Rattus norvegicus: one gene and its partners. The protein of the gene in region 1 interacts with the protein of each later gene in a biochemical or structural test. Links are inferred from orthologs where the notes say so. Each region holds a gene or a part of one and is shown in the gene's direction. Other genes may lie near its edges. The genes, in order: Ube2a, Rnf40 and Uba1.

Region 1 (11,030 bases):
GCCCAATACACATCCATCCCTTAAAAACATTTGTAACAACCTGCCATATTGTCCTGCCACTACTTCTCTCCCTCTCCCTTCTGTCTCTTCCTTTCCATTCCAATCTCCTCCACTTCTTTTAAACTTTTCTCCTGCCCATCCTTCCTTCTTGTCCAATGACAGGCCTCCTTCTATCTTGTACCTGCCTCACCTGTGACATTATCCCACACTCCTTGAGTAAACAAGGCAGCCTATCCACTTCCACAGAATATGGTTTAAGTGCTTCATGCACTTGTTCACTGGAGTTTTGTCTCTTTTACAGCAAAACTGAAATAGGCTTGTTTCAGGAAGCTTGTCTTGACACACTAGACCGTCTAGATAGAGTTTTGGTGGTGCAATTTCTCTGAGGGATTCCCACACACTTAATATAGATCCCACTCTTGCTGGGAAAGGCAGGGTTGGAATGATGCCAGCTTTACAGACTTTTGGTCCTTGGTGCACCCACATATCCTTGTCTAGATATTAAGCCAATGCTTAATCTAGATTTAAAAAGAATATTTAGTTATTTATTTTATATAAGTACACTGCAGCTGTCTTCAGACATAACAGAAGACGGCATCAGATCTTATAACAGATGGTTGTGAGCCACTATGTGGTTGCTGGGATTTGAACTCAGGACCTCTGGAAGAGCAGTCAATGCTCTTAACGTCTGAGCCATCTCGCCAGCCCCTAATCTAGATTTTATAGTGAAGAAATTGAGTAGATTTTATTTGTTTGATTATTTATTTATTTAGGTACTGGGGATGGGGCATGGAGCCTTAGACATGCTAGGCAAATCCTGAGGATATTCCAGTCCACTGAAAAAGTAACTTACCTGAACTTAGAGGATTTTTAAGATAAAGAGATTATCAAGGTTGGGTCTGATGTAATCTGACAAGTTAGAGAAGTACACTGCATTCTTCTTATAGAAAAAATGTTCAAAGTATGTGAAGGAGCTAGCAAGAGAGAAGGTCACATAGCAAAGAATGGAGGTGGCCTCTGGGAGCTGGGAGTGGTCCCAGTTTGGCATTTAATAATGAAATAGGGCCCCGAGTCCTACAAGCATAAGGAACTGGACTTGACCTGCGGTTTGTGGTGATCAGTTAAGCAGTGAAAGAGAACAAATGCTCTTTTTGCAGGCCTTGCTTTTGCTATTTTCATGTGTGAAATAGAAGACTTCAAGTTTCTAAATGAGGGGAAAAGGATTTTTGAAATTTGGTTTGGTAACCTTATCCCACCAACAGCCATAATATGACACTGTTAGGGAAACTTGCTTTAATGGATATATGTGTTGGGGTTAATCGGGGATAACAATTGTTAGCTAGGGAGGTACCTACCATCAAGCACCTAGTAAAATCACTCCTGTTGGTATGTGCTTTCTAGTCCTGTGCACCTGATGATTTCTGGACATCTTCACATGGCTGTTTCATCACTCCCAGGAGCTCAGGAAGCCCCATTCAAAATTTCCTCTCCTGAATGTGTCCTTCACCCTTTATGCCTACTTCTGTTAATGGCTACTTCAAATCTCTACTTCTTTTTTTTTTAAGGTTTATTTATTTATTATATAGAAGTACACTGTAGCTGTCTTCAGACACACCAGAAGAGGGCATCTGATCCCATTACAGATGGTTGTGAGTCACCATGTGGTTGCTGGGATTTGAACTCAGGACCTCTGGAAGAGCAGTCAGTGCTCTTGACCATTGAGCCATCTCTCCAGCCCTCAGTCTCAATTTTTTTTTTCATTTTCAAAAAGGATTTATTCATTTTATGTATGTGAGTACACTGTCACTGTCTTCAGACACACCAGAAGAGAAGAGGGCATCGGATCCCATTACAGATGGTTGTGAGCCACCATGTGGTTGCTGGGAATTGAACTCAGGACCTCTGCAAGAGCAGTCAGTGCTCTTAACCGCTGAGCCATCTCTCCAGCCCCTCAGTCTCAATTTTTAAAACATTTTCTCATACTGTGTGTGTGGGGGGAGATTTCAAAACGTGAGCAGGATTTAATGTGAGAGAAAATCTCTGTTGAGATTTGAAGCTGTAGTAGGTCCCATGGTAAAGGATGGGCTTGGCCTCTGGGAGGTTTGATTGCCTGGTACAATGTTTCTCCTGAACAGTACCACAAGAGCCCTTCAGGTACTCTCTTGCTCTCTCGGGACAAACTCTGATTAACCCAGCTCTAATGGTGTCGCTTCCTGGCTCTACTACCTTCCAAGGAGTCCATTTGCTTGACATTCAAAACTCTCCCGGATTTAACTCAAACCTGCCTTTCTCATCATTTCCTGCATTCTTAAATAAGTATCTTCTTGTCTGCCTACTAAGTGATTTTTGGGTTGATCTTTGAAAATGCTTCTTTCAAACTGTTCTTGCTTTTGCAGGTGCCTATACTCCCTGTGAGGCTTGCCTGCCCGTGACTTGCAGCTTTCCCCCGAGCGCCTACCTTTCCCTGCCATCTCCTGTCCTTCCAATACTCTTCAGCTGGATAAGCTCATACCTTGGACTCCTCTAAACTAGCTGCTTGGCTTGATCAATTACCAAGGGGAAATGTGGTTCCAGAGACAAGTTGTGAGTGCCCATGGCATTTGTAAAATGTCTATTTTCCCTGCCTGAAGCTCCCATTTCCACCACTGCCCCAATGTCATTTTATTCAGCCCTAGACTTAAAAGTTGGGATTGAATTGTGCACCCTCATCTCAAAGAAGATGGACCCAAAGTCCATTTTCACACTCAAGAGCCATTTATTTATTTATTTATTTATTTATTTATTACTTTCCCCATGATTCTGAGTAGTTACCCCAGCCTCTCGTGTCTGCAGGACCATGACCCTAACATCCTTGCCTTTTGAGAACTTGTTTGCCTGTGCCAACTCTTTCCCCCACTCTCCTGTTTCAACTAATCTTCTCTCCGCTCCTCTTTCCCCGATCCTAGACGTAGTTGGCAGTTTAATAAATCATGCCTTGTCAAAACCAAAGAAAGGTTAAGGCATATTCCTGGCAGGCTGAGGTGACCTCAAGGCCCAGCCTCTGGGATTCACAGTGAGTTTGAGTTAGCCTGTATTACATTAGATACTACAAGAGACCAACCGTACAATCAATCAATCAATCAATCAATGAAGGTGGAAGAAGCAGGGAGCCAACAACAAAACAACAAGTAATTAAAAGATTGGTATGGTGGTGCACTCTTGTAATCCCAGCATTTGGGAGGTGAAAGCAGGAGACTCAGGAGTTAAAGTCATGCTCAACCACACAGTGAGTTAGAGCTTCCCTGGCCTACAGGATACCTTGTTTCAAAAGAGGAAAAAAAGAAAGGAAAGAGAAAGATTTCCTCCCCCACGACCCCCCCCCCCCCAAAGAAAGTAAGTAACTATAAAAAGAAAACTTCGCAGGGGTTCCTCTTCAAATCCGCAAGTGGAGCCCATGCGTTTCCCTTTTAAATTCCCGACAGTTGAAGGCTGCCTTTGCTGCCCGCTTAGCCTTTCCCCTCGAACTTGACCGCCACCGCCCCACGGTCCTGGATTGGGGCTCTCAGGCGGGGCGTGACTGACAGAACAACTTTGGTCCTCCCCCGCCCCGTAGCCGACTTGGTACAGTCCGCCCGGCGTAAGGCGTTCCCCCCCACCCCACCCGCGCGTTCTCCTCAGGTTGGTTCGGCCCCCGTCTACTCAGGGGTGGTGCTTAGCCGGCGCCAGACCGACCCTCGGCTTCGGAGAGGTAGTGCTGTTCCTCTCGGTGCTCCCTCGGCTTCGGCTTCCTCCGCTTCCTCAGGGACCGCGGACCCTGGTATATGCCCTACCTCTGACCCTGCTAAAGCCATGTCGACCCCGGCCCGGCGCCGCCTCATGAGGGACTTCAAGAGGTAACCGGCGTCGGTTAGGGAAAGGCGCTTGAGGGGGCTGCTTGCCCGGGGCACAGGGCGGATCCCGAAACGGAACGGCTCCGGGTGTGGTGGTGAGGGGGGCCGGCCGCGAGTCCCGGGGCTGAGGGGAGCCGCTGTGTGTTTCTGAAGGTTACAAGAGGATCCTCCGGCTGGAGTGAGTGGAGCCCCGTCGGAGAACAACATAATGGTTTGGAACGCGGTCATTTTTGGGTGAGTCTGCGGTCCGGCCCTCGCCGGGGACTCAGGGGACCGGGGCCGGCCCCTCGATGAGCCGCGGGGGGAAAGGGGAAGATAGTTGGGGTTGTTTGGGCCTAGGCGCCTCCCCGGAGCCTCTGCCTCGATTAGCTCCGTTCTCGCTGCCAGGGGAACCGTTTGGGGTTCTAGGGGGGCGGGGTGGGGAGCGGTGGCGGCCTGCGCTGCCTCCAGAGCCCCGAGGGGACAGGGGTGGCTTCCCTAACACCGGACAGCTGTGCTGGACGGAGGGCAGGGATGGGAGACCTTGACAGAGCCGCCTCTTCAGAGGCTGCGGGAAGGTGTGGACCCCCTTGGCTGGTACTAACCGGTTCTTGTTTTTGTTTTCCTGTGTTGCAGGCCCGAAGGGACCCCATTTGAGGATGGTAAGAGAGTTTCTTAGCCCACCTTTCAGGAGCCTACTCACCAGGGAGAAGGGGGTCCCTGGCATCAGCAAGCATCCCCAGCTTAAAGAAGCAGCTTTGCCCTGCCTCTTCTGCCCACCAAAGGCTCAAGTGAAATTCAGTGTGTGGCAGGTTGTTCTGGATGGTCCTATGCTTAACTAAAACTGCACTTTTCTGGGTTTTTTTCCCCCTCCGTTTAATATATCCTGGGTGAAAGTAGTCACTTTTTAAAAGAAGTGCCACAGTGCTGGTATTCAGGATTTTGGAGGTTCGAGCAGTGTTTCTGCTAACTTTAGCCCCCACGGAGATAATTCAATATAAAACCGGTCCACCAGAGACCATCTGGTTCACTATGCGTTCCATCCCGAGGGCAAGAAGTGTGTTCAGCAGTACTTAGTGTGTGCTCTGTTGAGGGCTGAATGAATGCTTGCAAGATTCCCTGACATACAATTCCCTGGCTTCAACAATATGATTCAGAAGGCACATCAGCCTCACTTCTTTAAAGATGTTCTTACATACTTAATTTCAGTATAATGTTGTTCCTTGATTTTAAATTCATTTACAGTGTGTGCTTTCGTTTAGATCTTCTAATTGGTAATCTCAAAGCAACTTCAGAATTGAGATTTGTCTCACAGTAGTACCCAGTGTCCAGCCTACTTGAATGTTGAGTTTGTATCAAGAGGTGCATAACAAACGAGTTAGGCTTAACTTTTAAAAACACACGTTAAGGTCTCTTCAAAATTTGATATATTGAATGCTGCCGTGGAGTCTTATGCCATTAAGTTTTGCGCTTGGAAGGCAGAGCAGGCAGAGGCAGGCAGCTCTCTATGAGTTTGAGACTAGTCTGGCTTACTGTAATTTCAGGCCAGCCAGAGTTACATAGTGAATCCTTGTCTCAAAAATAAAGCAACAAAGAAAAAGCCCCCTTCTAATTTGACATAATTACAGATTCCTGTGCAGTTGAAATAGGTACTATAACAAGTCTATGTAAAGCCTTACTCCAGTCCCATTACCTATTTGGTAATGTCTTGAATGACTACAATAGCAGAATCAAAATGGTCAGTGATACAGTTTTATATGCATAAACCAAATTGTGTGTGTGTGTGTGGGGGGGGGTTGAACCTTTTAAAGGTTTAATTCACTTAAAGGATGATTAGAACTTTCTGAGTTCATGAAATTCTCTGGAATTGGGGGTATTTTAGTAACATACGAATGTGCACAGATACATAGACACATTCACCTTCAGTTTGAAGGTGATAACAGAAACATTTCTAAAACTACTTTTTTTTTTGGTTCTTTTTTTCGGAGCTGGGGACCGAACCCAGGGCCTTGCGCTTCCTAGGCAAGCGCTCTACCACTGAGCTAAATCCCCCAACCCCCTAAAACTACTTCTTATATATGTTGCTGACTCAGACTGCTTTTACTTACTGCTAGTAACCAAACGCTGTGAGGTAAGTCAAAATCAGCCTCGTCTGGAATTTGTCTCAAATACTTAAGATAGTCTTTGGAAACCATTGATAGTTACTAGAATACTGTTAGCTTTTACTCTATCTCACTGGTTAGGTAAATGTTACCTGCCGCAATAAAAAGAAATGACAGAGGACTGAGTGATTCTAGGGCACACAACTTTGGTGAATTTAATGTAAGAGCTAGTCAGTGAAAGAGCTAATTAGACTTAACTTTTCTCTACTATATCGAGATATATATAGTTTTGTTTTTTGAGACAAGGTTTCTTTGTGTAGCCTTGGCTATCCTGGCACTCTACTCAAGAGATCCATCTGCCTGTGTCTTGAAAATTCTAGAATCAAAGGTTGTGCCAAGTCTTTTTTTTTTTTTTTTTTTTGGTTCTTTTTTTTTCGGAGCTGGGGACCGAACCCAGGGCCTTGAGCTTCCTAGTTAAGCGCTCTACCACTGAGCTAAATCCCCAGCCCCGCTAAGTCTTTATAGATAAGTTTTATATGTAGTTCAGTGCTTCTCAACCTTCCTGATGCTGCATCCTTTTAATACATTACCTTATATTGTGGTGACCCCCAACCATAAAATTATTTTTGTTACTACTTCAGAACTGCAATTTTGCTACTGTTATGGATTGTAATATAAATAAATGTGTTTTCCAATGGTCTTAGGTGACCCCATGTGAAAGGGTCATTCAGCACACCCCCAAGGGGTCACAACCCACAGGTTGAGAACCGCTGGTGTAAACCACTTCAGCAATAATGGGCTTTACTTTCACACACACCCCCATTTTGCTCAGACTGTTTTATCTTAGGCACAGCTTATTAATAGCACATCATTTTGCTAAAGTCTGGCTACTTAAGATTTCAAGAGTGCTCCTGATATTTAAAGTAGTATCATTTGAAAAGGTACTTGTAGACTCCATTATCTTCCTGTATTGTTGCCTTTGACATTACTGGTGTTGATTTTGATGGTGTGTATCTATCTCTAACATGGCATTGCTGAAAGGAGTTAAGCTAAATGACAGTATCTGTCTCTGATTCTGTAAAACAGTCTAGTATACATGGATTGCTTCCTCAGCTGTTTAGAGCTCTCACTAGCAAAAGCCAATCCTGGCCTTTTTTTCATTACTTCTAATTACTTTCGGAGAATTTATAATTAGGGAAGAGATTTGGTAGAAATAAATAACAGCTGATTTGCTATCACAAATGTGTTTCCAAATTAAAAGCCCTCACACAACTTTTCTTTATTTCTTGGTAGTTGTTTCTGAACCAGATCCTAGTTAAGAAGAGGAAATCTGATGCAAAGAAAAATTTGTTTTTTGAGACAGGGTTTCTTTGCAGCCTTGGCTGGCCTGGAACTCATAGATCTACCTGCCTCTGCCTCCTGAGTGCTGGAATTAAAGGCATATAACTTAAATACAAAAATTATGGGATATATTTCTTATCATGTTCAAAATTACTGAGTGGGATAATTGTAGTCACTTTTTATGATATATGTGATCTAAAGAATTTGAGTGTGTGTATCTTTTCCTTTTAAAAAGGTATCTCTTTTTTTTTTTTTTTTGGTTCTTTTTTTTTCGGAGCTGGGGACCGAACCCAGGGCCTTGCGCTTCCTAGGCAAGCGCTCTACCACTGAGCTAAATCCCCAACCCCTAAAAAGGTATCTCTTAAAGTCCACTAGAGTGATGATGAATTTTCAGTCACCAAAACAAAATTAAGTCCATATAAATTTGCTTTTTCTCCAGGAAAAGTTAGTCAAATGACAAGAAACATGAGCAGAAAGGGTTAAGAACTTTTTCTGTGTGTGTGTGTGTATGTGTGTTAAGACAGGGTCTCTTGTAATCCAGGCTGGCTTCAAATTAAATATGTAGCTGAGGATGACCTTGAATTCCTGATCCTCTTGCTTCCCTGTCCCAAATGCTAGAATTAGAGGTATTTGTTGTCACATAGGCCATCAAGTCTAACTCTTAACTTCACTTTCAAAGACATTTAATCTATGTTATGTCTTTAGGCAGAACTTATATTCATCAATTCAACTATATCAGTCTTTATTGCCATATACTAGACATTTAACACATTTTTTCTGGCCTCCGTGTGTATTTGTGTTGATACTTAAAACATTTTGACCTCCTCAGGAAGTTTTAAAAAAAATTAGTAAAAACCAGTAAAGATTTCACACAACAATGATGAGTGTTAACCTTTCATTATTTTGTTTTTTTTTTTTTTTTTGGTTCTTTTTTTTCGGAGCTGGGGACCGAACCCAGGGCCTTGCGCTTCCTAGGTAAGCGCTCTACCACTGAGCTAAATCCCCAGCCCCACCTTTCATTATTTTGAAGCCTAGCCCTCTGAAGGTGAGCGCTAGTTTGAAATTGTTTAATAGCCTATGATTTTTAAAATTGCCTTAACATTTGTTTAGATCTCATAAATTGCATTGAGGGTTCTACTGAAGAGGCTCCCCTTACTTAATGTATCTGAAAGAAATGTCTTTTAAATGTATATATTGAATAAGATTTGGGTAAGTCTTAATTTCTAAATCAAGTGAACAAAAACACATTTCACTTCTGAAGATAGCTAAAACTTTTACAAAGATTAGATTCGCTCAGTAGTAGCTAGGTTAAGACTCCTGTTGCTTTTCCAGGACAAAGTTATGGCTTCACAAGCAGAGGGCTTCAGCCAAGGAATTTGAGCTGGCCACATATATACTTAATCTTAAGTGTTTGCTCTGTGACAGGAAATGAGTGTTGCTTAATATCTGAATTTAGTTGTGTACTTCTGACTGGTAGTAAAGTTTAGAGTTTGTATTTTTCTCTCATTCAGCCAGCTCTAGATATATGAGGCAGAATTATAGCTAAAGTAATTGTTCATTTATGGGGAACATTATGACTATGACTATACTCATCTGCCACATTTAAGCCTTACAGCAGTGTCACAGTGGATACTAATTATTAGCCTTCTTTTGCACATCCAAAACTTGAGGTTTACATACAATCAGTGATACCTGTATGTTTTACCACATGTCTGTGCACCATGTGTAAGTCTGTTGCCCGTGGAGGCTAGAAGAGGGCATGGGATCTCCTGAGCCTCCATGTATGTGCCAGGAACTTAGCCTTGAGCTTGTACTCTGAGAGCCATTGTGGTGTGTTTGCAGTTGCTTTCCTTGTGTATTGCTTTACTCTCTTTGGGTACCACATTCAATGAAGGTTCAGCTAAGAGTAGCTGGGGTCTCTGTGTGCTGTTAAGGCTTCCTAGTTTTAGAGCAGCTTCTTGGTCATAAATCCATTACCTATAATTTAGTGAGATTTTATCACTAATCTGTTTATACATAAGAGAATTCTAAGTATTTGAATATGGTCTACTATTTCCATTTGCATTACAGTATTGTAAAGGAAGGACTGTGCTTTACTTCTCAAGAAGAGGAAGATTCCTGGGTGTAGCAGCATGCACCTTTACTCCTAGCACTCAGGGGCAGAGGTAGATGAGTATGAGTTCAAGCCCAGCCTGGTCTATGTAGGGAGTTCCAGGGTAGCCAGGGCCACATAGAGACCCTGTCTCAAACAACAAAAAGGAAAACTATAAGCAGGAGATCATAAGCATACGCGTGCTCTGATGCCCATTCCTTAACTTTGTTCCCTTTCCTTCTTTATACACTAGCTATATATGGCCTTCAGAGTAAAACAGTTTCTAAAGTAACAGTAGTTGGGAAATGTACTATTCAGTGTTTTACATCTTGTTTACTTCTCTGTTTGTGGTTCTATGTATGTAACCCAGGGCCTGGAACAAGCTAAACAAAATGCTTTTTATTGAGCTACAATCCCAGGCCCTTGTTGTTGTTGTTGTTTTTTAAGCAATTCTTTCTTCCCCTATCCCTTCGTGTGTGTGTGTGTGTGTGTGTGTGTGTGTGTGTGTGTGTGTGTGTGTGTTTTGCTTTGTAGCATTTCCTTCCTTTTTTACATTTATTTATTTTCTGTATGCTTGTAGGTACACATGTGGAAACCACAGGACAACTTGGTAGTTTTCTCCTTTGACTTCATGGATTCTGGGAATCAAATTCAAGTTTTCAGGCTTAGCGCCTTTACCTACTTACCCATCTTCATAGATATTGTATTTTAAACTATTGTATTTTAAATGATTCTGGAATTTTGTGACTCATTCATAGCAAGGTCAAAGTTTTGATACTGTTATGCATCAGATATAGTAGTATTCTTTAAGTAGAAATAAACCTATTAATGAAAGGCAGCAGGAGACAAATTGCTAGCTTTAAAGGAACTAGTAATAAGTTATACTCTACCTAAAGTGTAGGCTTCTTCATAGCAATAATTTATTAAATGAGCCATAGTAATACCCACTCAAACTAATCAGATAATTTCTGATTCATATATATGCATGGACACAGACACAAATTTTTCAAGGTGTTTTCTCTGTGTAGCCCTGGCTGTCCTAGAACTTACTCTGTAGACCAGGCTGGCTTTATACTCAGAGAGACCTGACTGCCTCTGTATCCATAGTGCTGGGATTAAAGGTGTGCACAACCACCACCTGGCCTGATTCTTTTATATCATTCTATATTGTATATGATGTGTTTCTATGCATGTCAGAATGTGCTTGTGGAGGTCTGAGGCCAAGTACGAGAATATGTTCTTTTCATCTGTATCTGGGTTTCAGAGATGCTTGGCAATCACTTAGCCATCTCATAAGGACGCATAACTGATTCTTGAGTTTACTTGAAGAGATTTCAGTCGGAAAAAAAACCTAATTGCTTTCCTAAACCTAAAAAGCACAATTAAAAATGACAATTTACAGGATGCATACTCTCTTCTCACTTTACAACAGCCTACAATTCTTTTTTTAAAGATTTATTTATTTAATGTATGTGAGTACACTACAGCTGTCTTCAGACACCCCAGAAGAGGGCATCAGATCCCATTACAGATGGTCGTGAGCCACCGTGTGGTTGCTGGGAATTGAACTCAGGACCTCTGGAAGAGCAGTCAGTACTCTGAACCACTGAGCTATCTCTCTAGCCTCAGCCTACAATTCTTGAATGA
Region 2 (9,340 bases), on another chromosome or scaffold:
CAGGTGTGCGTGTGTGCGCTGAAACAGGGTCTCTATTTCACTCTGGCCATCCTAGAGCTCACTGGGTAGAGCAAGCTGGCTTTGTACCACAAGCTTCAAGCTTTCCTGATGCACTCAGAAGCCAAAAAAGGATCAGATCCCCCTTGAACTGGAGTTAGGGATGACTGTGGACTGTCACATGGATGCTAGGAGCTGAAACTAGGTCCTCTGCCAGACCTGCAAGTGTGCTTACCACTGACCACCGAATGATCTCTACCCCATGGGAGCTCTTGGTCCTCTTGCCTCCGGCTCCCGGGTGCTGAGAGTTCCAGTGTTAGTTTAAGCCTAACAAGCATGGCTGAAGATGTAGCTCAGCTAGTAGACTGCTTACATAGCCTGCAGCAAGCTCTGGGTTCAGTCTCTAGCACTGCACAAACGGCATGGCGGTGTAAAATAACTATAAACTTAGTACTTGAGAGGTAATAGGAAGTTCAAGGCCATCCTCAGCTGTAAAGCAGGTCTGAGCCAGTTCATGCTGGAATATGTAGAGGCCTTATCTTATGGGGAAATGGCGAGAGGATTGAGGTGGAAGATTGGCAGTCTGGAGAGAGGGCTCAGGGGCTGGAGCACTGGCTGCTCTTCCAGAGGATCTGGGTTCAATTCCCAGCAACCACATGGTGGCTCACAACTGCCTGTAACTCCAGTTCCAGGGGTCCCAGCACTCTTACACAGACATGAATGCAGACAAAATACCAGTACACATAAAATAAAAAGTAAGTTATTAAAAAGTAATTTAAAAAAAGACATAGCGGATTTACATTGGTTCTATACCTATTGGAGTATTCTGGGGAATATATTCATGTAAACTGTTTTGTGTCCCTGTTACACACGCTGGGCTTTATGCTGACCAACACTGGGTGAGTCCTGCCTCCCCACCAGTAATCCACAAAGAAAATAATGCAGTTGTCTATCGCTTAATCTTTTTTCTTTCTCCTTTCCCTCCCTCCCTCCTCTTCCCTCCCCTCCCCTCCCCTCCTCTCCTCTCCTCTCCTCTCCTCTCCTCTCTGTTTCCTTTCTCTTCTCTTCTCTTTCTCCTCCCCTCCTCTCCCCTCTCCTGCCCTCTCCTCTCTCTCTGTCTTTTGAGACAGTCTCTCTATGTAGTCCTGGCTGTTACAGAGCTCACTCTGTAGACCAGGTTGGCCTTGAAGTAAGATCCTGCCCCTGCCTCCTGAGTGCTGGGATTAAAGACATGCACCATCGCACCAGACTCTGCTGTTTAAAAGACAAATTCTCGCTGTGTTCCAAGTTGGCCTTGAACTCTCAGTGATGCTCCTGCTTCAGCCTCCCAACTGCTAGAATAACAAATACTGACCACTATACCTGGTTCAAACACTGATGAAGGAAACTAAGGCTGTGTGGAAAAAAAGAAATGGCACTCCTTGGAGATGTGACTTTAGAGCCGAGTCCACAGGACAGTGTGCATGTTAGAGGAGTTGATAGCAACAGAGACACCAGCCTGATGGAGGCTCAAAGACCAGAGGGGGCACCGCAGTCAGGAATGAGGAAGCATAGGATAGAGGTGAGGTTGAGGGCCACAGGCAGGGTTAGCTCCAGTACATGCCATTCTGTCATTCAGGATGTTTGACAGAAGCATCAGTGGACTGTGGTTCCCAGGCTTGGGCACAAGGTCCTCTCCTTCCTGTTCCCGCCCACCCCAGGCTGTAGAAGCAGCCCAGTTGGCTGAGGACCTGAAGGTGCAGTTGGAGCACGTGCAGACTCGGCTTCGAGAGATCCAGCCCTGCCTGGCAGAGAGCCGGGCTGCCCGGGAGAAAGAGAGCTTCAACCTCAAGAGAGCTCAGGTGTGTAATGGGGAGGGCTGATGTGTTACCAGTGTGAGACCTGCAGGTCCTTAGCCTGCCTTCTGTTGTTCTAGGAGGACATTTCCCGGCTGCGGCGCAAACTAGAGAAACAGCGGAAAGTAGAAGTTTATGCAGATGCGGATGAGATCCTGCAGGAGGAGATCAAGGAGTACAAGGTGGGATATGACTGGCTGGGGACAGTGGGGTGGTAGTCTCTGTGGCTGGAAATGAAGTAGGGCAGCAGAAAATGCCACTTGTGGAGTCAGACAAGTGCTAAGCATTTGTCGTATGTAAGCCATGTGCAGAGGGATTACACCTGGACCCTGGGACTTTTTAAAGTAATTCTGCCATCTCAGTGATGAGTCAAGGGAACCCAGGGGCCGTCTCCAGAGTCCTGGGGATGGGATGGAGAATTGTGTAGCAACAGGCTTCCTGAAAGGAATTGTCACCAAAGACAGACCCAAAGCTCGAAGAATGGAGGTGAGAGCTTTTGGAACAGGAAAGGCCCCAGGTAGAGCCATTGTGGTTATAGGAGAGAGACAGTTGAGCAGCAGAAGACTCTGAAGGATGTGGGCAGGTTTGGTAGCCTGTGGGCACACAGTAGAGAAGCTGTCATTAGGGAGGTAGAGGAGCGTGTAACGTTTGGGAGTAAACCTGGGTGAGGCCTTATACAAGCTACACACACACTTTACCACCAAGCTGCATCCCCAGCCCCATCAAGGGTCTTTAATCAAGATGGTGGCCAAATGTGGGGCCAGAAGTGGCTGCAGAAGGGGTGGTGTTAGAGCATTGCAGTCGCTGAGTCAGAAACTAATATATAGCTAACCCTATACCCAGAGATGAGAGAGCAGCTAAGGTGACACTAAGGTGGGACTGCGGAGCTCAGGGATGGGCCACACGAGGATAGAATAGGCAGGACAGCAGTGATGTCCAGGGCGGAGATGGAGGAGCTGGGCAGACGTCACTTTGCAGAGCATTAGCTGTGGGTGTTTCTGAGAGTGATGGGAGCCTCTGGGACCCCTTGGGAAGCTGGAAAAGCACTTGAAGCCAAGGTCAACTGCAACAGAATTGGAAGCCACACTGGGCTGTGGTTGCCGTTGAGGGCTTTTGCCATCAGAAGGAACAGGGGACGTTTTTCTCACCTCGGGAATCTCAATCTTTAAGTGACAGGCATTGAGTGAAGCCTGAGGAGTAAGCAAAAGTGCTGATGGGAGGAGTGGGTAAGGAAGGGAGCCAGCCAATCCCTGCCAGATGCTGCTGAGACTCTGTGAACTTGGGGGGAACAAGGGTCTCTGTAGTGGAGAGGGTGGCAGAGTCAGTGATGAGCTATTCCCCCATTGGGCCTTCTCGGGGAAGGCAACAGTGTGGATGGCACTGTCCTGAGAGATTGGGAAACAGTAATCTGGAGGAGTTGAGATGGCTGACTGAGACTCCAGATGGGCCAGACACTTGCCATGCAGTGCTCACCCAAGGTAGTGACTAGAGCCGAATCTGAGGCCTCCTGGTGGCACTGGGGAAAGTGCACAGCAGGGCCTGGGTTCCAGGGGTAGGTCTGACCAAGTCTGCAGAGAGCATGGTTCTCATGCTCTACCCTGTTCAGGAGTGACTGAGCAGGTACAGCAGAAAAGAAGTGACCAGTGGGGATTTCGCCCAAAAAAGCTGATAAGGCAAGAGATGGAGTTCAGGCTGGACCCCTGTCCTTAGGAGAACCTAGACTCTGCTACTTTTCTAGTTTGGGTTTTTTTGTTTTGTTTTGTTTTGTTTTTTGTTTTGTTTTTTTGTTTTGTTTTGTTTTTTGTTTGTTGGTTGGTTGGTTTTGTCTTGTTTTTGAAGATGGTTGTACTGTGTGACCTTGGCTGACCATGGTCACAGTCTTCTGAGTGCTGGGGGCTACAGGCCTAAGTGACTTGGGCTAGTTTGGAATTTTGAAAACTTGGCTCTGAGCCTGGCTCCTGCTCTGCTGGTTCCCACTTCAGAAGTTACGGTCACATTAGAAGCCTCAACCACTTGGTGGGCTTAGACTGGAGTCTGGGGCCTGTCAGAGTTGCTCCAAACTTAATGTGTGTGTTTGGTCTAGGCCCGGCTGACCTGCCCCTGCTGTAACACCCGCAAGAAGGACGCTGTGCTTACCAAGTGCTTCCACGTCTTCTGCTTTGAATGTGTGCGGGGCCGCTATGAGGCCCGCCAGAGGAAGTGTCCCAAGTGCAACGCTGCCTTTGGTGCCCACGACTTCCACCGTGTGTACATCAGCTGAACCTGAAACTCAGGGGACTTTGAAACATCCATATACCCTAGGGGCTGTGCCCCCAGCTCCCCACTCCCCCGGGGGCAATGGCCCCAACCTCCCTTCCAGACTCCATGAGCCCAGCCCCTCTATGCCGAGATGGTTTGGGGCCACTGGTGCATGCAGGAGAGGTGGGACTAACCGAGCTGAGTGCCATCTCCTGAATGTCACATCTGCAGCCTCTGGGACTCCCGGGTTCACAACATCCCACTGTAACCTCGGGAGCTGGCCAGACCTGTTTCTACTGAGAAGGCAGATACATCCTTGCCCCTAAAGGGGATCCCTCCACCAGGAGAGGGCTCACCACAAGCCTGCACAAGCTCAGTAGTGACCAGGGACCACTTGCGTGGCATTGGGTCCTGACCCAGGGAGCCTTTCTTCACCTCCTCAGCCCTCGGCCTGGCAGGGATTTAGCCTTCCAGTGGAGTTTGCTGTACCCTTGTGTAGCTTTTGTGTTAAGAAGGTGCACTCCTGGGTGTCTGCCCTCTTCAGGGACACTCTGCAGTTACGGACACTGCCTGCTCATAGTCTGATTCAGGGTCATCAATTTTTTTTTTTTTTTTTTTTTAGCCAGACACTTTCCAATCTCCTGCTTTTCTCCTAAGCCCACTTTACCCTTCCTCACACATCCTGATGGTCCCTTGAGTACCTGGCCCTAGCCCTGCTTTCTTTCATCCTGGTGGTCTTAATTGTGGAGGTGCAACTTACCAGGAGGGAAGAGACAATCTAGCACTTCCAGTCATTCCAGGTAGAAGAGCTTGGCCTGTCCTCCAGCTAGCCTGCACTGGTACTCCTGAACACTAGAGACAGGACCTAGTGGAGCTGGGAGATGGCGCTGCAGATAGCTACAGGATCTTTTGGACTCACAGCCTCTGCTCTAGAGGCGTCGTGTATGGGCTGCTAATTGTTATGAATAAATACCCAACCCTAGGCTGAGAGAAGCCGGTCCTCTTGGTCTAAACCGAAGTCTAACTGCTACACCTGGCAAGCACGTCCCTGTGTTGGTTGGGAGCTGGACACATTTGAGAGCCCATTCCAGCCCACAGGATAACTACTTGGGTTAGCAGTAGCAAGCAAATCTTCAAGGACACCCCCACCCCCACCTCCTTCACAATGGAAAAGCTTTTGAATATGGGTTGTCTATGCCCTTTCCCTGGCATTGGCCATATGGATAGCAACCTTTGTGGGTTGCATTCTGGGATATGTAGTCCTTTACCTTCCGGGACCAAGTTTCTCTGTTGGCCACATTTCAGTATTACTTGCAGGCTTTACCCACCCCTACTCTGGGAACACACAGACCACGACAACTCAGCAGGGTGGCTTTTCATTGTGCCTGCTTAGGCTATTAGCTGGACCCTTGGAAACCGTTTGCTCAAACGTGGAGTGTTGTCTCTAGGTTCAGAGCGCTGTCGACTCTTCCGGTGGCGCTTTTACAGTAGTCACGCTGGGATTAGCTCCATGACCAGAACTAAGCGAGGGTGAGGTGGGCGTAGGAGCAGCAGTCATAGCCATGGTTGTAGCCTCAGGCTTAGCAACAGCCATACCTTCTCTAGGCTCTTCAACCTTTTCCGAAGTCTTTCCTTCGTGAGGACTCCGGGCCCTTTCGGCTATCTGACTGCGCCTGGTTTCAGTGGGGTCGCAGTGGCCGAACCAAGTTGGACTGGAGACAGATATGCGGGCTACGGTGACCTCCGGCGTGCAGCTGGCAGCGATGGGAACGCTCGCGGAACCACGAGTAGCAGCAGGAGATGACATTGGGCCACCATGAAGGCCACCCCGGCTGGAGTGCTGGGGTGGGAAAGGTGGGGGAAACGCAGGATATTGCATCATAGAGACCAAACCTAGAGCTAGAAGAACTGAGCTAGTAGTCTTAAGGGGCCTGAGCCCTGGGGTATCACCTCTCTCTCCCAGCATGATCTAAGTAATGGACACCATTCCCTCAGAGGGGAGTCCTCAAATAGATGGGTTAGGGGTACTCAAAGTTTCATGTGGGGTGGTAACTTCCAACATAAAGCCTTTTCCTCATGTCAAGCTCAAGTTGAATGGGCATCCCTGTGCCTGGAACAGTATTGCCATCTTGGCAGGGCCATGAAAACAAACCATCAGTCTGTCAAACTGGTGTAGATCGGTCTTAAAAGACTCAAGCTTTTTTCTCTCAAGTCAGAGATCCTGAGTCAGAACCTCCCCTGGCCAGCTCCAAGCAAGTGGCTTCGGTATTGGATATGATCCTATTTCAGCCGGAGCTAAGGCAACTGCCTCTGAGAGCAGTTGATGGGGACTATTCTCAGAACTTACCCAAGCCTTTGGTGCTATACTCCTGGTCTTTTCATCGTGCTCACTGCCTTCTGATCTCTTCCTTCAACCCTAACCAGACTTCCCTTTGCACTTTGCCTTTCTCTGAGGTGTCTATCAAGAGCCAACAGCATAGGTTGGCTGTACCTACAGTTCCTTCCCAAGCTCCAGGCCTGAAACCCACTGTTTAAGGAGTATGAGGGATGCTCCCTTCCCCTCTCACTAAGGAGTATGAGGGATGCTCGCTCTCCCCCGACTCCTCACAGCACTAACCCTCCTCAGGCTTTGGCCTCTGCTCTGTAGCTGCATCTCCATCCATTGGTTCTCAACCTTTCTAATGCTAAGACACTTTAATGCAATTCCTCCTGCTGTGGTGACCCCAACCATAAAATTACTTTGTTGCTACTTCATAACTGTAATTTTGTTACTGTTATGTATCTATTTTCCCATGATCTTAGGCAGTCCCTGTGAAATTTGAGCCCCAGACTGCTCTGCGTCAATCCCTAACTGTTTGAACCTCTATCCCCACCCCACTCCTGACTTCCATCTAGAGGATCCCTCCTTCTTGAGGCCCAATGCCCTGTAGTTAGTTCCAACTGTCATCCAACCTACTTTAACAGTCATGGCCTCTGGCCTTTAAATCAGGTATTGCTCTGGTCCCCCTCTCATTGGAGTTCCTTAGTGTTCTCAGGACTCGGGACCCAGGAACATGAAATGGCAATTACCCCTCCCCACCACACCCACCCATATTCCTGGAACAGAAAGGGAAAGAATGACAGCTTATTCTGGGATTTGGGATAGAGGTACAATAAAGTCCAAGGGAGGACAGGAGGAATGGCTGGTGAACATGGCCTTAAGAGCCCTGACTGCTCTTCCAAAGGACATGGGTCCAATTCCCAGCACACAATGGCAACTAACAACCATTTGTAATTCTAGTTCTAGGGGATCTGACGCCCTCTTCAGGCCTCTGCAGGTGCTGCCTGTGCACGATGCCCAAGCACATGCAAATAGAACACACGTGCACACTATTTATGCATCCACCTTTCTGCCTTCACCAGAGTCCTTAAGAGACAGGCTGTGGCTAGTGTTGATCAAGGCAGCCACTCGATGGCCATGACCAGACTCAGAAGACAGACAGTGCTGAAGCCAGCCGGGCGTGAGGGCTTCCTTTTAGTAGTCCCAACCACAAGAAGAAAAGGCATGGCCGGTGTGAGGTGGCCCAAAGATCTCCAGGTCACTCTAACTTTTCGCCATGACTTACTTGTGGGTCTTAGGTAAATGGCTGCACTTTGTAGAGCCCCAGCCTGCCCCATGGCAAGAACCTTTGGGCTATCCTGGGGATGGGACAACAAGCCAGGGTACCACTCAAAGAGGACAGGTTGCAGGAGAGGCTGAGCTAGACCCAGGATCCATGAGAACTCAGAGAGGTAGCTGCCAGCTCTGAGGATGAGGACCTGGGAGCTCTCCCTGTGTTACAGGGGAGGTTGTGGGTGTTGTAGCCAGAGAAGCTGCCAAAGAGGTTGCAAAGCTGGGCCCAAGTTAACCAGGACTAGAGCCCCGAGGCAGCCATGCAGTTTACCAGACCTCTCTCACAGGGACTGAATGTTAAAGTTCTATAAACCTGTCAACCTTCTACAAGCAAACACTGGACAGGAAGCATAAGGCCCCTGGGGAAAGGCAAATGGGACAATACTGAGCTTTTGGGGTCCCATGGGCCCTAGTTCTGGAAGTGAACAACTTTGCTGTTGGCTGAACAAGGAGATAAAAAGTAATAACACCTAGGAAATCGTATTCCCTTTATTCTCCAACTATTCAACATGACCACAGGTGACACAACACTGTTACTGACACACAACACTCAAAATGGGACTTCCCTTCACTCCATGGGGACAAGTGAGGTGAGCGTGGCTTCCTTTGTGGGGGCTAAGACTTCTGGGAGCCACCCACTTCAGACTAGGGTGGGGTAGTCAGGATGGTTTCAAATCCTCACCCCGATTCACGATTCACACCCAGTACTTTACGAGTTACTGTCTGCATTCAACATCAGTTCTAAGTCTCACCTTAAGTGCAGATCAGCTCCACCCCTCTCCTATGTTTGCACTCCTTTGCCTACGGGTGCTGGGCTCTTCCCCAAGGGCACTTCTGAGGGCTCTAGGTCTGGTACAAAGTTGACTCCATTGTGCCTTCCAGACTTAATTCTGGTGGACCTTTTCCTGAGCCAGTTAGGTCGTCCTGTGGTGTAGCTGGAACTGAGAGGGTTGACCAAGAGAACAGGTCTCCCCACAAGGTTTCTGCTCTGCCCCCCTTTCTACAAGGAAGCCCAGGAACCTATCTACATGGTCCATTCAGTACTGGAGTCGAGCATAGCCCCACTGTCTCCAGAACAGGTGAGCATCCTATTACATAAGCTACATCTTAGTCTTCCATAGTCTACAGTCAGCCATGACTACACTGACCACCTGCCCTCCAGCACTCTTCCGATGACAGAGGTTCAGATCTGTGTCTGAGGGAATCTGTTCCTAGTTTTACAAAGGATTTCTCTCTAGTTTCTGCTACCGTCTTAGAAGGGAACAAATCAGCTTATACTTAGGGGAGTATCTACTCCATATCATAGGGATATCCCCTTTATCAACATTTCTGTCAGTAGACAAACAGGCTCCTCCCAGTCTCCTTGGTGCTCCCCTGCCTGGCACTTAGGACTCTAGCAAGGCTGTCTCTGTAATTGTCTAAGACCTGCCTTTTCTCTCTCCCCAGTATTTTTTTTTCTCCCAGTATTCTACATTTTGGTCCTTTAAATTTTGCGGGTCATCCCTTTGGGGACAGGATAGCTGAAGGGTGATGGGTCTCTGCCTTTTGAACTTTTAGGTAAGAGAATTAGAGGTCTGCTCCCCAGCTTTGTAGGAATCCAGGTCAAGTCTGGGCACAG
Region 3 (10,275 bases), about 120 Mb from region 1:
GTGTCAAGGAAGACCACAACCACCGCGGTCGGGGGAGGAGAAGGCGACAGTGATCCTAGCTGGCCCAGGCGGCAGGGAGGAGAAGGAGAAAGAGGAGGGTGGCGGCCGAGCTTGACTTCGGCTCCTTGAGGAGTTGGCGGCGGCACGACCCGGGGAACCGGCATTGGTAATAGCTTTTCTCTGCACCTGGCTCGAAGCGCAAGGGCTCAGGGAGGTATGGGAGGGTCCCTGCTGGTTCTTTGCCAGCCCGATGTCTGAGTGCACTGCGGTGACCTGGGTATTAGGAATCACTAGACAAGTGGGTGTGGGGGTGTGCAAATCCTGGGGCGGGATGGATCATTTTTGTCTAGGACCACCCTATTCCCTTGGGCTCCGAAATCTGACCTTGACATCATACCCTTATCTCTGCTTCTGGAGGCTTCGGGTGTAGCACTATAACAAGATATCTTGATCCAATCCTGAGCCATGCATTTCCTATCAGAACTCCGAGCACAGTCTCCCATAAAGGCACCGGAATTCGGCGTCGCTGCTCAGGAAAGCCGTCCATACTTGTGTGCTATTTGAAGACCTGCCCCGAAATCTCCCTTGAGACTCTTCCTAGCCCTTCAGTATTTGCCCTCATGGCTTAAGAGGGGCCAGACTTCAGGAAAGGTCCGTGTGGCCTTCATCTCCGAAAGAAGAGCCTTGCCTAGCATTTTCATCCAGAGTTTCCCCCTCCCCCTCTCAGGATACTATCTGTCCTTAGAGCTGCCATCTGGATTAAACCCGGTGAAAAGCTCTGTGCCTGGCCTTTCCGCGGGAAACCCATTCCTACATTTGAGATATCCGAATACCACTTTGACATAGCATCCTCCAACATGGACGCCTGGCATTCTTAGACTCTTTTCAGCATCTACCTTTAGAGACTCTCCCTGCTTTTAGGGACTCCCCCCTTTTTCATGCTCTCATTGTTCTCAAAGCATCGTCTTCTCCATCAGCCATTCTTAACCTCCAGTATATTTCCTTTCTTCTCTCAGGGGACTAGACACGGGGGAGGACCTGTTTGGACATAGTTCTCCATTAGTGATCTCTTGCCACCATCTACTCTTTCAGACTCTTTATTTGTAGCCCCATCTGCCAGATGGTCTCATCCTAGACCCAAATTTTGCCTTCAAAGGCAGACCAGCATTCTAGTTTCTCTTTTTATAAATCCCTTAATCTACCAACAGGCCTCAGAATCTACCCTCATTCTTTTTAAAGGTTCCTAGTATTCAGAGACTCTTAGCATTTGCTTTTGACTTCACTCCCCTTCTCCCCAGCAGGCCCATTTATCTTCCACAGGAGTAGAAAACCTCAGTATCTATTTACTATGGAGTCACAGAATTGATTAGAGAAACCTAACTCTATTTGGAGATCTAGCCAATATTTGCTTGGTAACCTATTATCATCATTATTACAGAGTTTCACTGCCTCTGTCTGCCTCACTAGTGCTGGACTCAAAGGTGTATACCACCATGATTAGCTCTTTGTAACCTTTTTAAGGCTTGAACTGTCTGAAATTCATCTTCCCTTCACCCTATCAGCAGCTGTGGTACCTGTTTAGATCCACACAAGGCCTTTGTTGCTCCATTAGAAATCCCTCTCCAAGAGTCTGCCCTCAGAGACCTCTCTTAGCCTCTTAGCACTTAATCTCGTAGCTTCTTGTCACTACAGTGTCAACATCAAAGTCATTTTTCTGTGCATTCCCACTACTTTTGGTTGAAGGGTTTCTGTCACTAGAATCTAAGCCTGTCAGCCCCAGAATCTTCCTGTAGTAGTCTCAGGGTCTACATTCTCTCACCTCTTTCTAGAAATCCAGGTTTGAGTCTTTAATACCTCTGTCCAACACCCCCACCATTTATAAGGCGTCTTTTATTATCTCCTTCACAGCTCTTTGAGCTCAGTCACTTCCTCTGATGCCTTTCTTACACTCCTCAAGACTTCTCATTTAAAATCTCTCAGGAAGCTTGACAAGCCTCAGCATCTTCCCCTGTACAATATCTGTCAGCTGGCTCTGCTTCCTAAGCCTACCCAGATTCCCCTGCTCAGTCTTGCTCTAGAATATTCTCAGGCTTCAGTCATCAGTTTGGAGACCCCAGATAAGTTTGAAATGCTTTAATTTCAGCTTTGCCAAGTAGGTTTTAGAAAATAAATTCTAACAAAGAAGGCTGAGCACATGTTGAGAGAGAATGAATGGAGATTGGTTTTATTTTGTTTTTTATTGTTGGGGTTTTTTTGTATTTTGCTTTTTGGTTTTATTTTTGGATGGGAGTAGGGGAATCTCTAGCTCTTGTCCCAGAATCTCTGTCCCAAATTCTTCTGCTTGCCTTGATAAAGGGGCTTTCCAAAACCTGACATTTGAAATCTCCCTTCCTATATTCTTTTTTGAAATAGAGTCTCACTGCATAATTCAGACTGGCCTCAGACTTAAGAGTCTTCCTGGCTCTGCCTCCTAAGTGTTGTGGTTGTGGGCTTGTACTGCCACACCTGGCTTTGAAGTCTACTTTTGAACAGTGATCCCAAACCTGCTTACTTAGAGCCTTGCTGCCAGCACTGGGTGGGGGTGGAAAGGTTAAGGTCTGATAAAGAGCTCTCTGCTCTGGATTTTGTCTGATGTGGGGAGTAGAGAAAGAATATGCCTGGAACAAACCACCCAATGACAAGGGAAAGGAGATAACTAAGTAATGGAGGCCCTTGTGGGTGCCTTGGGAGGAGCCTCTCTCCTCAGGTCCTTGAATTTTGACCACAGATAGCCTCTTTAGCTTCATCAGGAGGACAGTTCCTTATCTCTCCATTTTTTTGGAGAAAATGGGCTTAGAGGAAATAAGATCTGCATGCCAAGTCACTGCCAGTAAATGCAAAATAGGAATTACCTCTGTCTCCATCCCAGTTTATCAATTCTCTTCCTACCCAAGTTAGATCTAAGCATTTCCAGCAACTTCACCAGCAGACTTCAACCCTAGGCAGCCTCCTACTTCCCCTCTTCTCCCTTCCTTTACCTCCCATCTCTGAGCAGTCTGAGCTGGACCCAAAGCCAAATTCTGACACTACTCATCTAGGAGAGCCATACAAACTGGACAAATGACATGAGCCAGGGGAAGTGAGAGTTCTCCAAGCTTTCACTTTCTATTTATGGTAAGAGAGTGGGCTTGTATAGTTCACGGGCATTGTTGGCATTACACAAAGCCCTTTCTCTTGTGACTGATAGGGTAGATAGTGAGGAGCGCTTGTCATTGTGTTCATATTAGAATGTGACAGTGCCAAGATGGAATCTTAGGTATGTTGGTGGTCTTTGGGGTCAGAAAAGGCTTCACTGTAAGAGTTGTATGAACAGAAAACTCAGGGTATAAGCAAAGGCTTGGTATGTTGAAAAGCTACTGGGCCTACAAAGAGATTCTAGGTCCTATCTTCTATTTATCTGAATCTACCACCATTAGACTTCACTTCCAACAGCAGGCTGTATTGTTATCTGCCTTCTCTGGGATCTAGTATGTCACTTGATCATATGAGTTCAGTTTTCTCATTTGTTCAACAGGGACTTTAAATCCTGCCTTGTAGGATCAGGACAATTGAGAGCATGAAATTTGCTAGCTCTGAGAAGTGGCTTGGACTTCAGAGTCATTGGATCTGGTCTGATCCCAGTTCAACCACTCTTCGGTGGGAACTTTGGTCAAGTCACCAAACATCCCCGAATGAAGTTGTTCCTTTCATGTGAGCTGAGTAATAGTTCAATTCCCACAGGGTTGCCCTGAGGACAGACAGAGACAAGGCTAGTAAAGTGCTTAGTGTGGCCTCTGACACAGAGAAGACTCCTAGGAAACAGTCATTATTATTACTGCTAACCTATTGAAGGAACGGACTTAACATGCTGAAGAGGCTTTAGAAGTGTGTATTTTCTCTCTTCATGCAACCTGCTTTATTGGCCTGGGTTATTGTCTATTCCTAAAACTGGAAGAAAGGTTTGGACTTTGTAAAGCTCTGCCTTGAGCCCTCCTAGGCCCTGTGGTCTGTATCTTTTTCTCATTTCAGCAACCCATAGAGCTATATCATTACCCATTTTACAAAGTGAGGGGACAGCTCTACATGATACCTATCAGGGACAAGATTTGAAAGCTGAGTATTTCCTGAGTTCACATCCAATCATCCCAGAATGATCTTCCTTTTACTCCATAGGATTGGCACCTTTCCCTTATGCTGAGCTAGGGAAAGATAAAATGACTTAGCAGTCAGCTGTGTGGATTTACAAGCTAAACCACCTTGGTTCAGATCTTAAGTCTCACAGCAGTGTGATCCTGGATAAGCCACTTCATCTCTCTGTGCCAGTTTCTTTCCTAATGTAGATTTGCTAATGCTTAAATCTTCCCCCACTTTTACCAGTAATACGTAGAAAAATAGTTCAAGGCCAATCAAGGCTACATGGTGAGACCCTGTATTTAAAACAAACAAACAAACAAACCAGAAAAATACCCATATATCCTAGGCTTACCTCTATCCTGTCTTTCTTCCTTAGATGTCCAGCTCGCCGCTGTCCAAGAAACGTCGCGTGTCCGGGCCTGATCCAAAGCCAGGTTCTAACTGCTCCTCTGCACAGTCAGTGCTGTCCGAAGTGTCTTCAGTGCCAACCAACGTGAGTATCTTCTCCCTGCAGACTGGCAGGTATGGTGGTAGGAAAGGGAGTCTTTTATATTATTCTCCATTTGCCCACACCCCACACCCCACACCCCACTCATGCATATTGTCCTGAACCCATTCTTGCTCTCTATTTCCAGGGAATGGCGAAGAACGGCAGTGAAGCAGACATAGACGAGAGCCTTTACTCCCGGCAGCTGTAAGTCAGGCAGGAAGGGGCACTGAAAGAACTTGATGGGGAAGGTGGGCTGGACCATAACCTGGAGTACCCTCTAACTTGACAGGTACGTTTTGGGCCATGAGGCAATGAAAATGCTCCAGACATCCAGTGTCCTCGTCTCAGGCTTGCGGGGCTTAGGTGTCGAGATTGCTAAGAACATCATCCTTGGTGGGGTCAAGGCTGTCACCCTACATGACCAAGGCACTACACAGTGGGCTGATCTCTCCTCCCAGGTATCTCTTCCCAACATCCTTTTCCCTGCTGAGATACCTACTTCTTTGTGCCACAGCCTAATCCTCCCACCCACCTGTCTCTTACAGTTTTACCTTCGGGAGGAGGACATTGGTAAAAATCGAGCTGAGGTATCCCAGCCCCGACTTGCTGAACTCAACAGCTATGTACCTGTTACTGCCTACACTGGGCCTCTTGTTGAAGACTTCCTTAGTGGTTTCCAGGTACTTGGTGATTGCTCAGCCTCCTGCTTGATTTTCATAGAAAGAACTCGTGTTTTGTATTGTTGGCACTATTCACTAGTTAATGAGTTGTCTTGGGCATCGAGCAGTATGCATGAGAGCAGAGAAGATGCACAAAAGATGAGACCTTGAGCCTGCCTTTGGGGAAAAGGTGGAGACAGTGTCCTGCTATGAGTGTAACTTTAGGCAGGTCACTTAGATCCTGGGCCTTGCTCTTTCCATTTCACAATAGGAATGGCAGCAGAACCGACTTCATGGAGTTCCTATGAGGAATAAGCATGGAAAATAGCAGTGTGGTCACAGGAAGGATGGCACAGGCATTTACTAGTTAAAAAGCCTAGGCTATGAGAGCTGCCTCAGGGGCTAAGGTCCCCAAGGGCTAAGGTACTGTAGCAACAACAATCAAACATAGTAGTAGGAGCTCATCCTGGTGGACAGAAATAGATATTCTTGGAGAAGGTAGAGAGAGCAGTTTTAAAATTGTGATGGAGTAGGCACCATCTTGAGACCCATCAACAGGTAGGTATTATAAGAGTGAGCTCAGGGGTTGGGGATTTAGCTCAGTGGTAGAGCGCTTGCCTAAGAAGTGCAAGGCCCTGGGTTCGGTCCCCAGCTCCAAAAAAAAAAAAGAACCAAAAAAAAAAAAAAAAAAAAAAGAGTGAGCTCAGACTTTGACTTCAGTTTCTTCCTGCCTGTGTCTCACAGGGCAGGGCATGGTTGTAGGCAGTTAGCAAACAAATGAGTCAGCTGCAGTCTGTGCCCAGTAGTACCATTCTACCTGGCCCAACGTGTTCTAAGCTTTCGTTTTCTGTCTGCTGTGTTTTCTTCTCATTGAATCTGATCCCCAGAAAGTCTTTAAGAGAGAGGTCTGGAGGACCAGGAGGATAACTGTCTTCAGGACTGCCTCAACCTCTTTGCACTAGTCTCTGCTATTCTTTTTTCTCCCCTTCCTCCTAGTTCTGGCCTCTTGACATGAACTCTATTTCTCCACAGGTGGTGGTCCTTACCAACAGCCCCCTGGAAGAACAGCTTCGAGTGGGTGAGTTCTGTCATAGCCGTGGCATCAAGCTAGTGGTGGCAGATACAAGAGGCCTATTTGGGTGAGTACCACTTCTGCATGCCTTTTTTTCCCCACGTCCTTTCCTTGGCCAAGACCCTTATCCCTCTTCTACAACCTACATTTCATATTGTGTATCTTCATCTCTCCCTGCATGACATTAGTGCTGTTGTATCCCCTGTTATGTACCAAGTTGGTTCAGCACACATCCAATGTACCTTGAAAGATGCCTTGGGCCTTGTGTGGGCCTCAGACATCAGTCCTCTTGTCCCTTTCTATAGGCAACTTTTCTGTGATTTTGGAGAGGAAATGGTTCTCACAGATTCCAATGGGGAGCAGCCACTCAGTGCTATGGTTTCAATGGTCACCAAGGTAAGGAAATCAGCCCCAGGGGTCTTGGCAAACAGCTAGGCAACAGCAACCTTCTCTGTACTCTTGTACCTTGACTTGCCTCTGAGGCTCACTCCTTTTCAACCAGGACAACCCCGGTGTGGTTACCTGCCTTGATGAGGCCCGACATGGCTTTGAGACTGGTGACTTCGTCTCATTCTCAGAAGTACAGGGCATGGTCCAACTCAATGGATGTCAGCCCATAGAGATCAAAGTGCTGGGTGAGCTGGGACCATGGGGGTATCATAGGGGAACTGGCTAGGAGAGTTAAAAGAAAGGAGTTCAGAGTGATGGGCACTATATCTTGAGTGCCTGAAGTGGATCAGAGAATCCAGGATCCCACAAGAGCCAATGGACATGGGGAAGAAGGGCCAACTATGTTTGAATTGTTAATGAGCATGGGCCCCCAGGGTCTGAGTTGAGGAGAAGGAGCTTCTTGTGTTTTGAACAAACAGGGCAGATCAAAAGATCTGATCATGTCAGTGATCACCTGACATTAGTGTAGACCTGGGACCAATGACAAGAGAGTTTCATGGTGTCTGAACTAGCTCTGAAGCAGAGGGGAGATAGTTTCCTATCCCCAGTGGGGATTGTGGTTCAAAAAGTACCTGGTGTCTACATTGGGTCAGGCATATTTTTTTCCTTGTCTCTTGAGTTTTGTAAATTTAAGAGGGCATGCAAGATTGACAAGCTTCCCTATCTACTCTATCTAGGTCCTTATACTTTTAGTATCTGTGACACCTCCAACTTCTCTGACTACATCCGTGGAGGCATCGTCAGCCAGGTCAAAGTACCTAAAAAGATTAGCTTTGTGAGTATTGGTTCATGGCAGGTGGTTCTAGAACAGTGAGTAGTTCTCAACCTTCCTAATGCTGTGACCCTTTAATACATACAATTCCTTGTATTGTGGTGACCCCAACCATAAAATTATTTTCATTGCTACTGTTATGAAATGTAGTATAAATATTTTGCCAGAGGTGTGTGCCTCATACAGTTCTAAATTTACTATTCATTTCTTCTCTTTTTATATGCTGCCTTCCCACAGAAATCCTTGCCAGCATCACTGGCAGAGCCTGACTTTGTGATGACTGACTTTGCCAAGTATTCTCGCCCTGCCCAACTGCACATTGGCTTTCAAGCTCTGCACCAATTCTGTGCTCAGCACAACCGACCACCTCGACCACGAAATGAGGTAGGTAGTTGGGCCAGCTAGGATAGAAGTCCTTGGTGCTAACGACCTACCCATACCTGTGCTTGTTACCTGTCCATCCCTTGATAGTAGCCTGGGAAATCCTTACTTGTTTCCTTTGCCCTACCAGGAAGATGCAACAGAACTGGTGACCCTAGCTCAGGCTGTGAATGCTCGGTCCCCACCTGCAGTACAACAGGACAACGTGGATGAAGACCTTATTCGGAAGCTAGCTTATGTTGCTGCTGGGGACCTGGCACCTATAAATGCTTTCATTGGGGGCCTCGCTGCCCAGGAAGTCATGAAGGTAAGTGGGGTTTTGTCTTGCCTTTATTACTTGCTATCCAAATGTGTAAGGGCCTGATTAACACTGGCCACTTCCTCTTTCCTTCTCCTTCACTAGGCCTGTTCTGGAAAGTTTATGCCCATCATGCAGTGGTTGTACTTTGATGCTCTTGAATGTCTCCCAGAGGACAAAGAGGCTCTGACAGAGGACAAGTGCCTCCCAGTATGTGAATGGGCTGGAGGGAAGGCATTATTGGGGGTGTTTCTTGGGAAGCTTCTCTCTGACCCATCTCACTTCATATTCCTCAGCGTCAGAACCGTTATGATGGGCAGGTAGCTGTATTTGGCTCAGACCTTCAAGAGAAGCTGGGCAAGCAAAAGTACTTCCTGGTGAGTGGTCTCCTTGGACACCCTGCGTGGTCACCTCCCTTGATCTCTGGCCACCCCTTCTGGGATCATCTGACTTGCTATTGTATCTCTTCTTGGTCGTTTCTTAGGTGGGTGCAGGGGCCATTGGCTGTGAATTGCTCAAGAACTTTGCCATGATTGGGTTAGGCTGTGGAGAGGGTGGAGAGGTCGTGGTCACAGACATGGACACCATTGAGAAATCGAATCTGAACCGACAGTTTCTTTTCCGGCCCTGGGATGTCACGGTGAGAAGGATGGGAGTAGGAGATGGCTCTCTGACCTCTTGTTTTCCTATCTTTTTCTTACCTATATCTATGGTATTTCTAGTAGAGATATACTTATCTTTCCTTGGGCCCTTCTCATCCTCTGTTCTGTCATTCATTCAGCTCTACCTTGAATCAGGTCTTTTCATCTCTTTTTCTTTTTTTTTGGTTCTTTTTTTCGGAGCTGGGGACCGAACCCAGGGCCTTGTGCTTCCTAGGCAAGCGCTCTACCACTGAGCTAAATCCCCAACCCTTCATCTCTTTTTCTGAACAACCGTCAAGTCGGTTTATTTCTTTTTCTTTTTCAGTACTGGGGGGTGAATCTAGAGCTATCTAGCATGCTGCATAGCTAGCTATAACGACTGCCACTGAGCTGCCTTTTCATTTCATTTATTGTACATCTTTTTTCCCCATTAATTTATTTATTCACTTTACATCTCAATCATAGTCCACCCTCCCCCGACATATGCAACAGCAGTGCAGCTTGGTCTTCATGCAGGTCCCTCAACAACTGTGGCACATCTTTAACCCCAGCACTCATGTATATATGAGGGCCTACATGTATGTATGTCTACTGTGTATATGCCTAGTGCCTGTAGAGACTGGAAGAGTATGTTGGGTCCTCTGGAATTGTAATTCTGGGGTTATAAGTGGGTTGTGAGCCACCAGATGTGCTGAGAACCAAAACTTAGTCCTCTGGAAGACCAACAAGTCCTCTGGAATACCAACAAGTGCTCTTAACTGCTGAGCCATCGGTCTAGCCCTTATCACTGCTGCTTTGGGACAGTTGTCTTGTGGGTTTCCAAAAATATCCCCAAACTCGGTGACTGCCTAGGAGGACTAGTGGGTGATTTATTGCAGAAAAGGAACACAGCACAATCAACAAGGGAGGAACGAAGTCAGCAGCAAGTATTTTAAGAGTTATCTCCCAGTGGGGTTGCAGAAGGTGGATTTACCCGGTAACAAATATAATAATTCTCCTGAAAAGTTTCTAGCTAGAGAAGCCTGTTCATCTGTAACTAGGACATTTACTGGGATTTGGTTGTGTGTCAGAATTCCTGAATCTAGAGGGAAAGAAGGTGCTTAAACAAACTACACTGTTCACACAAACAGTTCTAGCACACTGAGCCATTAGTATTAGGTGGGGTAGTGATGAGGACTTTCCCTAAAATCTAAGTTCCTAGACTCCAGCCCAGGGCCACTTTTAGAAACAGGCCTCTGAAGGATGACATTGTAGTCAGCCAAGTGACTCTTGAGTTTGAAGCTGCGGTACCATATGAGGCTTTCTGTAAGCCAGTATTTGTTACTCACTGAATAGTAACTTTAGGAGTTAGGGTTTTAGA

What was found.
Region 2: the proteins of Ube2a (region 1) and Rnf40 form a complex in vitro, tested with the Homo sapiens proteins (3 studies listed by BioGRID). The link is inferred for Rattus norvegicus from reciprocal best matches to the Homo sapiens genes UBE2A and RNF40.
Region 3: of the proteins of Ube2a (region 1) and Uba1, one has a biochemical effect on the other in vitro, tested with the Homo sapiens proteins (6 studies listed by BioGRID, with this or other methods). The link is inferred for Rattus norvegicus from reciprocal best matches to the Homo sapiens genes UBE2A and UBA1.

Annotation. Positions count from the first base shown.
Region 1 is NC_086039.1:120,976,394-120,987,423, forward strand, and holds the start of Ube2a (ubiquitin-conjugating enzyme E2 A), read left to right. Parts: upstream 1-3,690; 5' UTR 3,691-3,828; coding exon 3,829-3,872; intron 3,873-4,022; coding exon 4,023-4,103; intron 4,104-4,484; coding exon 4,485-4,510; intron 4,511-9,963; coding exon 9,964-9,993; intron 9,994-11,030. UniProt on the Homo sapiens protein: E2 ubiquitin-conjugating enzyme that accepts ubiquitin from the ubiquitin-activating enzyme E1 and transfers it to a E3 ubiquitin-protein ligase. In vitro catalyzes 'Lys-11', as well as 'Lys-48'-linked polyubiquitination.
Region 2 is NC_086019.1:191,643,323-191,652,662, forward strand, and holds the end of Rnf40 (E3 ubiquitin-protein ligase BRE1B), read left to right. Parts: intron 1-1,615; coding exon of another isoform or gene 1,616-1,624; exon of another isoform or gene 1,625-1,697; coding exon 1,698-1,838; intron 1,839-1,912; coding exon 1,913-2,014; intron 2,015-3,915; coding exon 3,916-4,092; 3' UTR 4,093-4,412; downstream 4,413-9,340.
Region 3 is NC_086039.1:4,070,406-4,080,680, reverse strand, and holds part of Uba1 (ubiquitin-like modifier-activating enzyme 1), read left to right. Parts: 5' UTR 1-166; intron 167-4,528; coding exon 4,529-4,645; intron 4,646-4,787; coding exon 4,788-4,846; intron 4,847-4,931; coding exon 4,932-5,100; intron 5,101-5,187; coding exon 5,188-5,322; intron 5,323-6,333; coding exon 6,334-6,440; intron 6,441-6,678; coding exon 6,679-6,769; intron 6,770-6,875; coding exon 6,876-7,008; intron 7,009-7,500; coding exon 7,501-7,598; intron 7,599-7,832; coding exon 7,833-7,979; intron 7,980-8,106; coding exon 8,107-8,283; intron 8,284-8,379; coding exon 8,380-8,484; intron 8,485-8,570; coding exon 8,571-8,651; intron 8,652-8,758; coding exon 8,759-8,914; intron 8,915-10,275. UniProt on the Homo sapiens protein: Catalyzes the first step in ubiquitin conjugation to mark cellular proteins for degradation through the ubiquitin-proteasome system.